Linked DNA regions of Danio rerio. The protein of the gene in region 2 interacts with the protein of the main gene of each other region in a pairwise test. Links are inferred from orthologs where the notes say so. Each region holds a gene or a part of one and is shown on either strand. Other genes may lie near its edges.

The links. The genes of interacting proteins can lie anywhere in the genome.
Region 1: the proteins of tex11 (region 2) and snx7 interact in binary tests that used the Homo sapiens proteins (3 or more experiments, as listed by UniProt). The two-hybrid records come from large-scale screens. The link is inferred for Danio rerio from reciprocal best matches to the Homo sapiens genes TEX11 and SNX7.
Region 3: the proteins of tex11 (region 2) and atxn3 interact in binary tests that used the Homo sapiens proteins (3 or more experiments, as listed by UniProt). The link is inferred for Danio rerio from reciprocal best matches to the Homo sapiens genes TEX11 and ATXN3.
Region 4: the proteins of tex11 (region 2) and ing3 interact in a two-hybrid assay, tested with the Homo sapiens proteins (2 studies listed by BioGRID). The two-hybrid records come from large-scale screens. The link is inferred for Danio rerio from reciprocal best matches to the Homo sapiens genes TEX11 and ING3.

Annotation. Positions count from the first base shown.
Region 1 is NC_133199.1:34,413,212-34,417,412, reverse strand, and holds the start of snx7 (sorting nexin-7), read left to right. Parts: upstream 1-1,398; 5' UTR 1,399-1,502; coding exon 1,503-1,625; intron 1,626-4,201. UniProt on the Homo sapiens protein: Involved in the regulation of endocytosis and in several stages of intracellular trafficking. Together with SNX4, involved in autophagosome assembly by regulating trafficking and recycling of phospholipid scramblase ATG9A.
Region 2 is NC_133189.1:37,595,492-37,599,685, reverse strand, and holds the start of tex11 (testis-expressed protein 11), read right to left. Parts: upstream 2,808-4,194; 5' UTR 2,685-2,807; coding exon 2,657-2,684; intron 2,486-2,656; exon of another isoform or gene 2,424-2,485; coding exon 2,308-2,423; exon of another isoform or gene 2,253-2,307; intron 2,119-2,252; coding exon 2,034-2,118; intron 1-2,033. UniProt on the Homo sapiens protein: Regulator of crossing-over during meiosis. Involved in initiation and/or maintenance of chromosome synapsis and formation of crossovers.
Region 3 is NC_133192.1:59,465,270-59,469,564, forward strand, and holds the start of atxn3 (ataxin-3), read left to right. Parts: upstream 1-1,492; 5' UTR 1,493-1,510; coding exon of another isoform or gene 1,511-1,534; 5' UTR 1,535-1,844; coding exon 1,845-1,877; intron 1,878-2,271; coding exon 2,272-2,436; intron 2,437-2,525; coding exon 2,526-2,570; intron 2,571-3,592; coding exon 3,593-3,678; intron 3,679-3,773; coding exon 3,774-3,840; intron 3,841-3,936; coding exon 3,937-4,024; intron 4,025-4,122; coding exon 4,123-4,243; intron 4,244-4,295. Other genes in the region: gamma-aminobutyric acid receptor subunit rho-1, read right to left, coding at 1-239. UniProt on the Homo sapiens protein: Deubiquitinating enzyme involved in protein homeostasis maintenance, transcription, cytoskeleton regulation, myogenesis and degradation of misfolded chaperone substrates.
Region 4 is NC_133179.1:11,169,868-11,174,090, forward strand, and holds the start of ing3 (inhibitor of growth protein 3), read left to right. Parts: upstream 1-1,420; 5' UTR 1,421-1,554; coding exon 1,555-1,582; intron 1,583-1,711; coding exon 1,712-1,783; intron 1,784-2,657; coding exon 2,658-2,758; intron 2,759-3,702; coding exon 3,703-3,768; intron 3,769-4,029; coding exon 4,030-4,126; intron 4,127-4,223. UniProt on the Homo sapiens protein: Component of the NuA4 histone acetyltransferase (HAT) complex which is involved in transcriptional activation of select genes principally by acetylation of nucleosomal histones H4 and H2A.

The DNA.
Region 1 (4,201 bases), on a different chromosome or scaffold from region 2:
TTTAACATTATTTAAGTCCTACAAAATTCATAAAAATGTTGTGCTGTAGGTCCTACAGCACAACATTTTTATGAATTTTGTTTTGGAAATTTAAGACATTAAGATCCAGCGGACACCCTGTTCATAGTCATTTTAATTAAATCATTACTTCACACATAAAAACCATGAACAAATACCATTTACTGTAAAAACAGATATATGCCTACATGACCACAACTAAAATCAGTAAATGTTTGTTTGCACACAGATTATAACACAAACTGGAATCCTAAAACTGATCATGATACAGTTTCATACTCAAAGTGCACTTTAAATTATGTAAATAAACTTAATAAACCTTCAAAATAAATAGTTTCCCTATTTCATGGTTCAAATAGCATTTAAAAACAGGAACAGTTTTCAGCTATCATAACATTAACACTGTACCAACCGTCCAGGGGTGGATTTAACCAATTAGCAAGGTAAGCGGATGCTTAGGGCCCCAGGAAATCTGAGGGCCCCTAAATAAATACCTAGAAGTGTAAATTGTATCTATAAATTATTTTTAACATCGTTTACAATCATATTTTTTATAGCGACGGTCTAAAAAAATAAAAGCTTAATTTTTATTACTTCTGCGCAAATGTTTCCCCCCACCCTCAATCATGGAGCAGTCCAGCAGTCAAATTAGGTAAGGGTTTAGTTTAAAAACGTAATAATTTTTTTTATATATATTTAAAATTTATTTGTAATTGAAACTATAAAAAATTATATTTATTTTAGTTGTGAATAAACTTAAAAAAGACAAATCATTTAGATTCTATACACGCATTTTTTATTTTTATTTTTGCATTAAGACAAAATATAGAAAAGGAGATTGAGTGACATAAGAAAAAAGCAAAATAAATCAATTAAGAATAAATTAAAGTACAAACTTTTGGGCCCCATAGCTGGAATTGCTTAGGGCCCCCAAATCACTGACTCCGCCCCTGCAACCATCATAATATAGTTTCCTACCCAAAGTCCATTTTTAATTATGTAAATATAAACCTTTACACGTATAAACATTTTCTTATTTGCATTGCTGTTATTTCACGGTTCTTATTCGTTTAATAGTCAAAGGCACGAGCTGTTGGCCAAAAACCAACCATCATAACATTAATACTATAATAATAACTATCCAAAGTGCACTTTAAATTATGTAAACAGATGACATATAAACTTAAAAACATTTTTTCTATTTTCATCGCTATTATTTCACGGCTCAAATTCGTATAACATTTAAAGGCACAAGCTGCTGGACAAAAACCAACCATCAAAATATTGAGGCAAATACCGTAAACACACACTCCTTCACGTGGGCGTCCACACACGCCTCAACTCTCGGCTCTTTCCCTGTTCCGCGGTTTCCGATTCTGCGCAGTGGAGCCCGCTCCGCCTCAGCTGAGCTTTTTGAGAGTTGTGCGGAAAAAAAAACTGATGAAGTCCAGAAAACTTGTAGCAAAGTAGCGATAAGAGCAGCGATGAGTGTACCAGCCGTCGACAACACCGTGTCATCGGGCAATGCTTCGGTCGCGATCCCTGCTGACATGAGCGGGCAAATGTTAGATCTAGATGAAGACGATGACTTGGAAGTTTTCAGTAAGGTAATCAAACATCAACTGGTTAAAACAGAGATTGATCGCAGACACATAACTAGAGTTTATATCTTTTGATTCTACTTTATACGTGACTAATCAAACCTCTCTGTCGTTTTCTCACTGAATCAGTGTGTTTTGCTGAGATATGAAGTTTCAAAGGTCAGCGATCAGGCGCTGTCAAGCCATGTTTTTTTCCCTTAAAAAACTCCAGCGTAGTTTTTACTGTTGGTTTCTGGTTGACCTCACTGCTTTAAACGCCATTTGATGCCATTTTAAATAAATAAACCTCATCTAATTAAGTACAGATACAGCTGTGTTTGTTTCACTGACACTGATCTTATCTGTCTAGTAACGTAGTGAGTCATTCAATGTCTAGTAACTAGTACAGTTCAGTGGTTCCCAAAGTGGGGTCACAGAGGTAAAATCGGATTTATATTCGCACATTCGGATTTTCCCCTTAATAATATAATTTAATAAAAATATTATTTGCAGGCTCTAAATAGCGAAATCATATTAGCAACAATGACTATCAAAGTACAGCATTGTTCACAGTCAAATAAACAGTGTTTATGTTGTTTTCAAGTCGTACTATACGGTGATTTTAGACCGAATATTCAAAGTACCATTGTAAACAATATAGGGAGTGTGTCAGAAGTTGTCACTGAATAAATGTGTGAATAATGTTTTGAAGCCATACTTAAATTTCAGAGCCAATATTCAAATTAGCATGGTAAACAATATAGGGACCGTTAAAATTAAGAATGTGATTTTATTTTTAAACTTTACCTGAATTCTGCAAACTTGGAAGTACACCCTATTAACAAATTGGCTGAAGACCTTATAAATGCCTACTTTGACAGTCACCCAGAGATGCTAGCAAGCATGCAGGACACATAGCAAGTGGTCAGAATGTTATATCAATGCTTAGCAACACTTAAAACACCCTGGCAACACCCAACAAGAAGTTAGAACATCAACTGCTTGGCAATAGTTAGTTTACCCCACAAAAGAAAGAAAGAAAAACTAAGTAAAAATTAAGTTGAATACAAAAAAATGTGTTAGAGTTTTGGTAACCTACTACAGATGCCATTTGCTAAAAGTTTCCAACATTGTTCAAAGTAAAAACCTCATTTGCGCTCAACAGAATAAATAAACTCAAACGTGTTTGGAACCACTTGAGGTAGGTAAATGATGACAGTGTGTTAATTTTTTTGGTGAGCTAATAGCTAGCAATTCCAAGAAAGTAGTCAAATCCTATTTACACCTAACAACAGTTAACACCTTAGAAACTAGACAGAACACTCTAGCAACACTTAGAACACCCTATCAATAATATAAACACCCTAACACCTAGAAAGAGCACCCTAGCTACGCTTGATAAATAGAGCAAGTAGTTAGGGCAGCTAGCAAAGCTAAGTAGATAGTGCACCCTAAGAAAAGCGTAGCAAACACCCTAGAAAAACAACTGATTAATGCTTAGTAATCATTAAATCACCATAACAGCTAGGCAGAATACTGTAATAACACAGAGCAAGCATCAAAAATGCTATACCAATGCATAATGTTAAAACACCCTAACAACAATTCAGATCGCTTAACCAAAAGCGGTAAACGATTTCAAACTTTCAGGCATGTTAGACTTGATGAGCATTCAAGTTTTTTACAGCTACCACAACAACATTTTTTATTTATTTATTTATTTATTTATTTATTTATTTATTTATTTATTTATTACATTTAAGCACAATACAATGTATCCAAAGTGCTGTGCACAGCTAGTGTAGTAGTTCACATTAGCAATGGTTGTTATGAATGAAAGTGGGATGTTTGTAGGGTAAAGCAGCAGTGGCGTTTCTGCTGACTATGGACCGGTTTGTTATGACAGGAAACAGACGCACAGGCTTCTTTCCCAGCAGCTGTGGCTGAACGAGAGGGATTTGCATGCGTGTGTGTTTGGCCAAGGAAAAGATAGCCAAACACTATGAAAATCTGTTTTTTTACTGTGATCAAAATACGACAGCTTGCAAAGCAAGTTTAAGGAAATGATATGTATGGTATAATGATGTACTCTTGAAATGACATCACGTAGGTGTTTGGTGGTTTAGCAACAATTAGAGAACCATTTATTATGGTGAGTTTAAGATAATTACAATGTGTGGAAAGTTGGAACATTATAAAAAATGTCTATGCATCTGTGGTGTAAAGTAACAAATTACAAAAACCCAAACTACTGTAATTGAGTAGTTTTTCTCAGAAATTGTAATTTACCAAGTAGTTTTAAAAATGTGGACTTTTACTTTCTCTTGAGTGTATTTTTAATGTAATGTTGGTACTTTTACTCCACTACTTCCACCTGCAGTCACTACTTATTTTTTTCCTGTCTATATACACTATAAAAAAAATATAAAGCTAAGTTAACTTAAAATTGTAAAGCAACCGGCTGCAAAGAAATTTTGAGTTTAAGCTTCAGTGGTTAAAGTTGTGCCAATTCAATTTTTTTTTTAAGTTGACTGAAACGATTGTTTTAAGTCAAGCATACTTTTTAAAATAATTTGGCACAACTTCAACCACTTAAGCTTAAA
Region 2 (4,194 bases):
AATGCATCTAAGGTTTCTTGTGTAAAAGTCACAAATTGTACTGTAAAATGTTGCTATAAATGTCCAAAATATTATTAATTATATAGCTCTATTGCATTAGCACATTTTATAATATATTAACTATATACACATTTATATAATTATTTATTTTTAACAACATATTAACAAAATCTGCATCTATTAATTGACATTTTGCATAATTAATTGATTAAATTTAATAATGTTTATACTAAAATTATTGTACTATCGTTAAATTATGTTTTTTTTTTTTTTTTACAATTGTTTGTCTTCTTTATACTAGTAGAAGCCAATATTCTCGACACCAGTGGTGCTCAACCCTGTTCCTGGATATCGACCTTCCTGCAAAGTTCAGCTCCAACCCTGATCAAACACACTTGAACCAATTAATTAGGACCTGAACAGCACTTGATAATTACAGGCAGGTGTATTTCATATGGGTTGCAACTGAAATCTGCAGGGAGGTCGAACTTCAGGAACAGGGTTGGTCACACCTGCTCTACACTTACCAATTTTTACAGACTGTTCAAAAGTGGAAAGGAGCGTAGCTGCAGTAATGGTGGCTGAACATCGTTATGAAATTAGTCTGCCAAAAGAATGCTCAATATTCATAGCTGAAGCCTGTGCTTTACTTTTACTTGGAATATATAGAAAATGTCCAACAAAAGAATAATTTTTCAGACTCCAAATCATGCCTCCAAGTGACGGAATCTTCAAAAAATGATCATCCTTTCATTGATAATGTTTAACTAAAGTTCACCATCTACAAAACCAGTTTTGTCATACCATTTTTTATTGGGTTCCAGGACATCTTGTACTTTCAGGAAATGAGTGAGCTGATGTGGCTGCTAAGGATGCTTTGAAACAAGTGGTGAACAAATGCCAGAGATGAGACATTTTATCAATGTTTACATTTTAAATAAGTGGCAAGAGGAGTGGGATGCATTGGAAAATAACAAATTGTATGAAATACAACCTAAAATCTCACGCAAAGTTTTAAGACATTTTAAAACTAGACTTGGTTAAACACTAAACATCTTATTTAATTTATGTACAAATTTTTGTTCATATTTGATTGGATACTTGTAACTGAAATGTTCTTGCCATGACAATAGCTTTAATTGGTGACATGGCATTAAATTAAAATATATACTGGATTTAGTGATTCAGGGGCCCTAAGCAATTCTGGGTATGGGGCCCTAGCACTGAAACTCAAAACATTCTCTTATACATTTTTTTTCTCTGTAGATTATTATTATTGTAAATAAACAGCATGTTAAAGTATTTAAATAAATAAATATATATAAAAAGTATATAAAAAAGTATATTTTCTATATTTTTATATTTACTGGAAGCTTTTTCTTTTTTATTTAAAATTAAATGTAATACATTCACAAATAAAAAAAAAAAACAAGTAATTTGCAACTATTTAAACTAAATGAGCCATTTTGGTGAAAAGATTTTGATATAAGTAAATAAAAAAGTTTTAACAAATTTAATTCACGATCATTTAAGTTAACTGAATAATTGCTGTTTGTGAATCGGCAGCCGTTCATTTTCACTGAGCAATGTTATTTTATTTGAACAGACTCTATACACAGATTTTACAACATATGATTTAAAAAATGTATAAACGAGATATATGATTAATATAGGCTTCTTGGCATTGGTCAGGGACCCATAATTCCCTGGGGCCCTAGGCGGCTGCTAACTTTGATTATTGATTAAGTCCGCTCCTGCTAGTATGTTCATTTGTGCGTCCATAAAAGGCTAATTTAAACATGTTTAAAATTGTATTAACTACATTGACCAATTATTTTAATTTATTAAACATTTCTACATTTCCCAGACTACAGATTGAAACCCCCAACAGTATTAAATAGATACTTAATACAGGCAAGTAAAATCATTATTAATTATAATTATTAGGCCTAATTAATACATGTATTATTATTTAAAAAAAAATCTAATTTATATTAAAGTTAATAAAACAAAAGACTAATACAAGGACAGACCTTTGGCCTTCTGCTCTTCTGTAATTGAGGTGCCAACACGTTTGGTGACAGCCCAGTTCCACAACTGGATGGCGATTTCCTCCAGCTACAAAAACAACTAAATTATTAAATATTGAACCACAATTACCTGATTTCTGTGTAAGATGTTAACTTAAAATACGAAATAATATATATTTATGTCGAGAACAAAATAAAGACGTCATGTCTTCAAAACACAACGCTACAAGATCCCTGGGGGCTTCCGTAGATTTCAAAAGAAGTGTATTTTCCACACCTGTGAATCCTGTAGTTTTGCAGCTTCATCTAGAGTTAAAATCTCCTTGAAGAGGGAATCAATCACTTCATCCAAGTCTGAATGGCTCTGTCTGTGGAGGAGTTTCTCTGACAGGTCTGTGAAAGGAACGTCAAACCACGAAATATCTTCACATAACCTGTTAAATTACTTACAAAAGGTAAGTTGAAACTGTTATTTGTCATTATATTAATATCACTTAAAATATGTAAGATAAATAATTGTTTTGTAAAAAAACACAATAGCTCATCTCATAGTAAATACACAATAGCGTATCTTTTATACATTGAATTGACTGGTACCACATATCTTTCTTTTACCGCAAACGTACCTTTTACTTCGACAGCAAACTGCTCCATATTATATTTTGTGTATCTAAAAAATCTGAAGTAATTTTAAAAGGTTGTATTTTGTATGAAGTTTCTGTGTGACTGGAAAAAAACCAACGCTGCCCCTCGCGACCGCTCCCCGCCAAAACACGCACGAGGACGCGCTTCAGCCGGAGTGTAATACCGCTGAGTGACCGCAAGGTGGTGTCTCACACACGGTTTTTAACTTGCTGTTACTCATCATGTCTCCCTAAAATATTTCATTCAGGTTCACACAATTTATTTGGCGTGGTGAAGCCAAGATTAATAATCCAGCCTCATTAATATTAACAACTACAATCATTTTGCTATTTGGACATCACTCATATGCTATAAAATTGCATGTGTCTGTATATAATAACTGCTATTTGATTGTAACTTAAGTAACTGAGGTTTACTTAATTAAAGTAATGCAATTATGTGATTGTAATGCAAAAATGTGCATCTTTTGTAAAGCTGCATTGAAACAATAATTACTGTAAAAAGCTCTGTACAAATAAACTTAAATTTAATATTTAGTTACATTATAGCGCACAATTTCCACTATATTAAATGCACTTTTATTATAAATAGTAATAGAATATAAAAATGAAATATAAAAGCCTCAGAAACAAGCGCTCTAAATAATATTTTAAGATAAATGGAGAACTAGGCCTGCTCTTTTGATATTCAGAATTTCCGTGTTGAAAGGTCTGGCCCATTACATAGTATAATAGCATTGTTTAAACATAATATTCATCACCTTCTGCTAGTTAAAACCTCATTCACCCCAAAGAAAGTATGTGCTGATAACGCTGAGCTTTTTGTTTTAACAGGGGAGGTCATTGTTGAGCTGAAGGAAAGAGCTCAAGCTGCGTACACAGAATGGTTTGTGAAGTCTCTTATTGTGTTCACGGCACTAGATTCAAAAATAAGATGTCTTAAAAGCCCACTCCTCTGCATGCTCGGCTTCCAGCAATTGTTTCTGCCTGAGTCTTATCTAGCCACCGTACTGGTCTGAGGGAAATGTGATCAGTTCAGAGGGCTTGATTGCACAGGAGAACGAAAAAAACAAACATGATCCTTGTGACATGCGGTCAGAGAGATGGACACAAGATTTCCTAAAGTCTGCAACATAAATAATATTAAAATAATAATAAACAGGCGTATTTATACATCTGTGCCAGGTTTAAAAATATTTCATCTCACAGTTAGACTTGGGTATGAAAGGTCAATGCTAGGCCGAATATTGTGTATTCGAGAAATATCTCTGTAAAACATCTGCTGCCAAACCTGAAGACATAACCTGAAATGTATTGTCTATAAATGCTTTGGGAAAAAAAGAAAAAGGTAAAAAATGACTAGCTTTTATTTTACAAGAATTTATCTCTTAATCTTTCTAATTCAAAAACTAAATGTTGCAATTTACTGCATAATACACTTTACATGGTGGCTTTTATCAGCATTTAAATCTGCATTTAAATCTGTTAACATTAAATACCAATGAACATCTGTAATCTAA
Region 3 (4,295 bases), on a different chromosome or scaffold from region 2:
TCCGCAGCCGGACCCCATGGCTTCTGCTCCGCTCGCTCGCTCTGCTTAATCTGCACGCTGGGAAAAACAATTTGGACTAAACCCATAAATCCCTGCGCGTCAGATGGCACAGATCTGATCCTGCGGCGCTGAATCTGCTCTGTTTGCCATGCGCCGCCCCGAACCAATTCTCCTAATGATGGTGTGTTTGGCATTTGCATTTGCATGGCCAGGTCAGTCGTGTGGAGGATCAACTTCATGACTGTATGCTCTGCAGAAACTGCTTTACTTACTCAGAGTTTCTGTCTTGTGTTTGGTCCAAATATCTTTCAATTCTTTAAGAAAGAAGCATTCTCTAGACCAGCACAGCATATTAAAATCACCAGTCCAGCGCACCTGAAATATAAGTGAAAAAGCCTCTATTGAGATGACTATTGCTGTAAAACAGCAGGATTGTGCAGCGCACTTGTGAAAGTCAGTATTTCAATGGTAATAAAGGCTTTTAAACTTTTATCCTCCTCCTCGAATGCCTTGGAGGTCTGATCTTTTAGAAATCTTTAGATATTTGGACCAGAAACAAGATTAAAAACTCTAAGAAGATCATTTTTGCAGTGTAGAAATGAACTGAAATGGTTCTGAAGTGTTGTGTTGGATCAAGACATCGAGAGCCCCTCTCTCTGTGGACATAAACTGTCCTCTGTGTGGTTCGGATCAATGCAGTGTCCAGAACCCCTTCAGACGCTCCAGATTTCTGCTTCTGGATGACTGATTGACTGATTGACTACACGTGTTGAGCGCTGTGGCAGATGTCTGACAGACTCCACTGCTGCAGGATCTGTTTTATTTTAAGATGTTTCTCTCTGCCTCACGGGTCTGCATGTGTTTCCAGGCTCAGGCTCCATCTTTAAACACTCCCTCATTCACATTAACACGCGTGTGTTGGGGTTCACAGTAGCCGTTTTCAAGCTTCCTATAATGTGTTGAGCAGAGAAACTGGCGTGAATGCAGCTGAGCAGATGACACACACACATCACTGAGCAGATGACACACACACACATCACTGAGATGTCTGTTTGATGTTTGTGCTTACACAAATCTACTAGACATCAGTAAAAAGTCATTTGTGTCTTGAAGTGAATATTTTCAAAGTTCTCAAAAGTGTGAATACTTTAAAAAACATTAAATAATCGAATTACCTCATTTAAAACAAATAAGTTCTGCGTTTAATCAGGATCTGTCCACATGAGGTGTAGCGCAGCGCGCCACTGGGCGGCGTTCCTGATGTTTTGATTCGTCACGTGACAAGCAGAACGGTTAGAAAGTAACATCAGTAAATGTCCTGCTAAATTATTTATATCGACTAAACGTGTAATTCAATTGATAGTGTATCGGAGATCTTAATCTGTCGATTTTAAACGCAGCCTTGCCGCAGTTTTTATTCAAAGAGCGCTTGTTTTTAGGTGACTCTTATTCTGACATGTTTTGACGCGTCGCTGTTTCCGTCAGTTCCGTCATTCACACACTTTCAAACATGGAGTCTATATTCCACGAAAAAGTAAGAATCGCTTTCAGATAATGCTGTGTATGAGTGATGTGTAGATGATCTGGGAGAGCTTCTCCTGCAGGAGGGCAGATCTGTCGAGTTCAGTCTGCTGCTCCGGCTTGATATCTCTGAGGCGCTCGTGGACTTTTATCGAGTGTCAACATCCGACACGGGCAGACAGACAGTCCAGCACATGTGTGTTTACCGCCAGAGCGGCTCCTCTTCACTGCTGCACTCCGCCACACAGCGCTGTAGAGGAGGACACTGAGCCTGTAGACTGAGGGAGTGCTGGAGAGTGTGTCTGAGCTGAAGGAAACACGACATGAGCAGAGTTTACACGACGAGGATGATATGTGTGTGTGTGGTGTGTGTGTGTGTGTGTGTGTGTGTGGTGTGTGTGTGTGTGTGTGTGTGTGTGTGTGTGTGTGTGTGTGTGTGTTGTGAAAGAGTTTGTGAGTGAGTGAAACAAAGAAAGAAATGTAGAGTCTGAGTGAGAGTGTGTGTGTAAGAGAGCAAGAAAGTGTGTGTTTATGTTTGTTGACAAAGAGTGTGTAGTGTATGTGTGAAACAGATTTTGTGTGTGTGTGTGTGTGTGTGTTACAGTAGGAGTACTCTGTGCAGCATGATGATGATGATGATGATGATCATGGTGTGTGTGTGTGTTACAGCAGGAGGATGATGATGATGATGATGATGATGATGTTGATGTTGTTGTGTGTTTACTGTGTGTATGTGTGTGTGTGTTACAGCAGGAGGGCTCTCTGTGCGCGCAGCACTGCCTGAATAACCTGCTGCAGGGCGAGTACTTCAGCCCGGTGGAGCTCTCCTCTATAGCACAGCAGCTGGACGAGGAGGAGCGCATGCGCATGGCGGAGGGAGGAGTGCAGACGGAGGAGTACCGCACATTCCTGCAGGTACACACTCACACACACACACACACACACACACACTCACACACAGAGCTCAGGGTCTCAGTGTAACCTGCTGTGTTCTGTGTGTGCAGCAGCCGTCAGGGAACATGGACGACAGCGGCTTCTTCTCCATCCAGGTCAGTCATAGTTACCCGTTACTCCTCACAAACACTACAACAACAAATCAGACAAAGCTGCTGGGACAGACGGAAAACACGAACCCTCTGCTGTCATTCAGACTGCAGAAACAGGGCGGTGATCAGGTGATCTGCTGGATGATGATGTGATGTCCACAGGTGATGGTGATGGTGATCTGCTCATCAGGAAAGCTCTAGTGCTTTAGGAGCAGAGATGAGTCGAGGATCTCCAGTTTGAGCACAGATATGAGAGAATATGAGTGAAGTGTGTGAACACAATGATCCTCAGAGGAAGACATGTGGAGATTTCACCTTCAGCAGTGCAGAACAGCATTAAAGACTGAAGGAGTCTGGAGGAAGCCCTATGTTAACAGTGTCCAGCAGCGCTTCTCTAGGCTCTGGGCGTCTGGGATGGAGCATCACACAGTGGAGACGTGTCCTGTGCTCAGATGAAGCAGAGTTTCAGGTGTTTCTGGGAGAAATGGACGCCGTGTGCTCCAGACCACAGAAGAAGAGGATCATCCAGACTGACACCAGCAGCAGGCCGGCTCTGTCATGGTCTGGGGTTGTGTCGGTGCTCTGGGCAGAGGTGACCTGCTCTTCTGTGATGCTCCAGTAATGCTGAACAGCACAGAGAGATTCTGGACCCGCATTACAGAGTCCTGCTGCGGAGGAAGAGGAGACAGACACTGGACTGGCCTGCCTGCAGCCCCGACCTGTCTCCAATAGAGAATGTGTGGCATGAAGAGCCCGTACTGTTGCCCACATTAAGACTGGTTTGTCTTTAGTGCATAAACAGCTTACCAGTGTGGTGAAGAGGAACAGCAGCAGCAGCAGCAGCACACACTGCTGAACGCTTCACTGACACGGCTCACTCTGACATGTGCTGCAGAAACCAACACTGGAATACGTGGAAAACAAACGATGATGATGATGATGATGAACACATGAATTAAATGTTTATAGAGACCTGTGTGTGTTTGTGTGTGTGTGTGTGTGTGTGTGTGTGTGTGTGTGTGCAGGTGATCAGCAATGCTCTGGGTGTGTGGGGTCTGGAGATCGTCCTCTTCAACAGCAGAGAGTACCAGCAGCTGCAGATGGACCCCATGTGAGTGTGTGAGCGCTGTATCCTCTATGTGTGTGTGTGTGTGTGTGTGTGTGTGTCTCCTCTGCACACACTCATCCTCCTCTGCTGTCTTTCAGGCATGAGAAGGCCTTCATCTGCAACTATAAGGAGCACTGGTTCACCGTGCGCAAGCTGGGACAGCAGGTGTGTGTGTGTGTGTGTGTGTGTGTGTTCAGGGTCAGAAAGGTGTGTGTTTGTTGACTCTTTCTTTCTCTCTCTGTGTGTTTGTGTGTGTGTCAGTGGTTTAACCTGAACTCTCTGCTGACGGGTCCGGAGCTGATCTCAGACACATACCTGGCCCTGTTCCTCGCACAGCTGCAGCAGGAGGGTAACACTCATTATCGTGTGTGTGTGTGTGTGTGTGTGTGTGTGTGTGTGTGTGTGTGTGTGTGTGTCCGCTTCAGCGCTGCTCTTGTCCTCCTGCAGGTTACTCTATATTTGTGATTCGGGGGAATCTGCCGGAGTGTGAAGCGGATCAGATCCTGCGCATCATGAGGGTGGAGCAGCAGCAGCGGCCCAAGCTGATCGGAGAGGAGGAGACGCAGAGGTACACACACACACACACACACACACACACACACACACACACACACACACAC
Region 4 (4,223 bases), on a different chromosome or scaffold from region 2:
ATTTTTATTTGATCTAAATTGAGCGCAGAGGTGCAATGTCACTTTGCAGAACAGTTCATGTCTACAGCTGTGCGGTAATTCTGTCTTGGAAATAAAGGGTTTTAATGGGATGTTTTATAAAAGCCTCTTACACCACGACTGAACCAAATCATAACTGTCTACAATAAACGTGGGGTCAGGCTGAGGTTTCTTCCTCTCCAGAGACAGCTGGGCAGTTACATTGTCTTCCACTGTTGTGCAAAAGCCTCTTACACACAGACAGAAGCACTAAGTTGCCAGAACTGTCATTAAATATTGCAGTCAGTGCTGCCCTCCAAAGGCCAAAGCTGCATTAAACCTGCAGTCTTCAAACTAGTCTTCTATGTCTCTAATAACCATGAGGATACAAAATTAAGAGACACAAAACATTTGAATTATTTCTATAAGTTATACAATTTAGTAACTTCTTTAACACTGCTACTGATCTACAACAGGGGTGTCCAAACTCAATCCTGGAGGGCCGATGTCCTGCAAAGTTTAGTTCCAACCCCAATCAGACACACCTTAGCTAGGTAATCAAGCTCTTACTAGGCTTTCTAGAAACATCCATGCAGGTGTGTTGAGGCAAGTTGGAGCTAAATCCTGCAGGACACCGGCCCTCCAGTACCGAGTTTGGACATACCTGATTTACAAATTAAACTACAGATTTTCTAATGATAAAACATATATTTCAAAAGTATGTAAAATGTACTTGAAACAATTATTAGTGTAAAATTGACTTTTTTGATTGTATTACTGCAATGTTTTATACTCTGCATGCTTTATTTATCATTTACATCTTTCTCTTCATGTTATACATAATCATTCTTTTGTAAATGAAAATGTATTCAAAAAGAATGCTACTATAAAATAATCTACAAGTTTTTGTCTTAAAATCAGTGAAATATGTTTAAGTAATGTTTATGTGGCCAATAAATGATATAGCCTTTATCTCTGTGGAAATTTACTTTAATTTTACATGTTAGTTACTTTATTTGCTTTATATGCTTTTTTATTTTCTTAAAGATTGAACGTTTCTGTTATGTCAGTTTTATTTAAAAAATGAATTTATCTGTTAAACAATTGTGTCTAAACAATTATATTTACGTGATATAATATCTAATGTAAACAAGTATGTTTAGAACAGAACGAAAATGGCTATTTATTTATTTATTTATTTATTTATCTATTTATTTATTTATATATATATACCTACCTCTTATTGGGAGATGAGCAAATCGTACTAAAATGTACAAAGTACTAAAAGTTACAAAAGGCAGATTGCGTTGGACATCCCACAATGCGCTTGACGTAGTTTCAACTGAAAGAACTACAAGTTCCATAAAAACGATTTTCATAAAGAGTGCAGCTTCCGCGCAACTCCACCATCGTCCAATCAGATCCCACGCCCTTCACGTAAGCCCCTCCCCCGCCAGCTTGTGTTTTTTCCTCCCCTTCAGTTCTCCGCTGCCCGCGACGCCATATTGCCGAAAAACACCCTTTCTCTGAAACCTCCGAAAAACCATCTCCGCCAGAATGTTGTACCTTGAGGACTACCTCGAAAGTGAGTAAAACAGCTCTTTTATCTATATATGTTCGTATTATCGTAAGTAGGTGTTTTAGAGGGTGGTTTAGGGCGTGTTTTGCTGTCACATCCGTTAGCTTGTAACGCGGTTGTTCTTCTTCCCGGCAGTGATCGAGCAGCTACCCATGGATCTCCGCGACAGGTTTACGGAAATGAGAGAGATGGACCTGCAAGTGCAGAGTACGGTTTCAGTTTAAACTCACTTTTGTGCCTTAGAACACCACAGCTGACTTAAACTAACGTAAAGAGCCTTTCATATCAGTGGAGATCTGTTTGGTGAATTTGCAAGCATAATAAAAGCATGCATGTGTTGTGATGTTGCACACTGATGTTAAGTGCAATTAGAGCATGTGGAAGTTGAGTAACACCAGTGTCACCTAAACCAGGGAAAACTTAGGATACATTATTGCATTGAAATGCATTTTTTTGGTCACCCCAAGTAATTTAGAGTCTGACAGTGCCCCCATTGACAAGATTTTGATTGTCTTCATCACACGGGAACACAGTTTACTTATAGCAAATGCATGTATTTGTTAACAGATTAAGGTTTTGCATCAACCATAAACATGCATAGGTACTCATTCTAGTTAGAAATGTATATATTTCTAATTAAATCATTTTTACAAAACAGTTATCACAAAGACATTTCTTCTTGGAAATGTTATAGACAGTTTTCATTACATGTAATTTCCCGGTTACATTTCCCACCAAAATCATAAGGAAAGACTAATATTATTAAATCAATGTTTATATGTGTATATTCAAGTCTAGTTTTGTAGTTATAATTAAGATAAACCTAATTTACATCAGTTAAATATTTTTATATTATATAGTTTTAAATAATTTCATTTTATTTTGTGGTGATTGGGATCTGGATATTTTTCCACAGCTTTAGCAGTGATTCATGAATCACCCTTTGTAGGGGTTGCACCTACAGCCTTTTAATGATCTACTGAGATCTTTAACCAACCATAGACTTCCACAGTCGCCATCTGTGTGGTTGTGAGCCAAGTCGGGCTCTTGACTTCACTTTTGATCATGTTCCTTTGTTCAGATGCGATGGATCAGCTTGAGCAGCGGGTCAATGAGTTTTTTACTAATGCCAAGAAGAACAAGCCTGAATGGAGGGAAGAACAGATGGAAATCATCAAAAAGGTAAAGAACAGATGATGTGCACTTCAGTCGAACTGAGTGTTCTGCAGGTGATAATAATGTAGTATGAGATCTTTTAATGTTGATAATGCTTTTCCTTATTTGAACCATCAGTGTTTTTGGGTTGGACACTTTTTATTGACTCTTTTCAAAATTTAAATTAAACAAAAGGGGGGGAAAAGCAATATATGACATTTTAAAATGAATGGATATTAAATATTACAACCACACTTTACAATACAGTTCCAGTATAGTTAATTTATTTATTACCATTAACTAAGGATGAACAATATTTGCATATTATGAATTAATCATAGTCCTACGTTTAGTAATGTGTTATTAAAATCCATGCTTTTGCTTGTTAACATTAGTTAATCAACTGAGTTACCAAGTACTAGCAATAAACAATTGTATTTTATGTTAAAAAAGATGAATAAATACTGTAATAAATATATTGCTTATTATTTGTTAATGTTAGTAAGTAATTGCATTAGCTAATGTTTTCCAATGCAATCTTATTGTGAAGTGTTACCCATATTGTTTACTCCCGGAATCAGCTGCAAAATATATTGAACAATAAAAATTATATTGCAATTTAATTTAATAAAACATCTAAACTACATTCTAAGTGAAGCACAACATTTGCTTAACTGATATAATAAAGTTTGTATGTATAAGATGAGATCTTTACGCTGAAACTGACAGTGCATATTTTTTGTTACTAGCAAGATATGATATATTATTTTTTTGTTTTTATTTCATTTGTTATTCAATATTTTCCTTATTTTCATTATTATTTTTTAAATTGCATAATGATGAAATAATGATGAAATCATGATGAAACAACTGCTGGTTAAGTCATAACAATGATTGATAAAAAATTAATAATGGATAGTTTTGCATTAGAAGATAATATGCTTTCCTAATGATCTCTTTCTGTTTACCAGGACTACTATAAAGCTTTAGAAGATGCGGATGAAAAGGTCCAATTAGCCAATCAAATTTATGACCTGGTGAGTAATTTACTGTAACTAGCAACACTAGCCTTTGTGTCAGTACTGTATGGTCCCAGTAGGTGGCAGCACATCACTAATAGTAAAAAGCCAATGGATTTCTGGGAAGCTTTTTTGTTTGCTATTTAAATGCATACTAATGCTTTTTCGTGAGATTTAATAGACGTTTTTAAATACATTTTTCCTAATGAGAAGTGACATTTGAACTTGTGTGTGGGTTTGTGTAATCCGTTGTGTGTTGATCTTGTGCCTCTTATGTAGGTTGATAGACATTTACGGAAGTTGGATCAGGAGTTGGCAAAGTTTAAAATGGAGTTGGAAGCAGATAACGCTGGCATCACAGAGATCCTGGAAAGACGTGAGTGACGCCTCTCAATCACCTTTTTTACAGATAACTGGCTAATTTCAAAAGATAAAAAAGGTAGGAGTTGGCAAGTTTTTAAAATCAGTGTAAA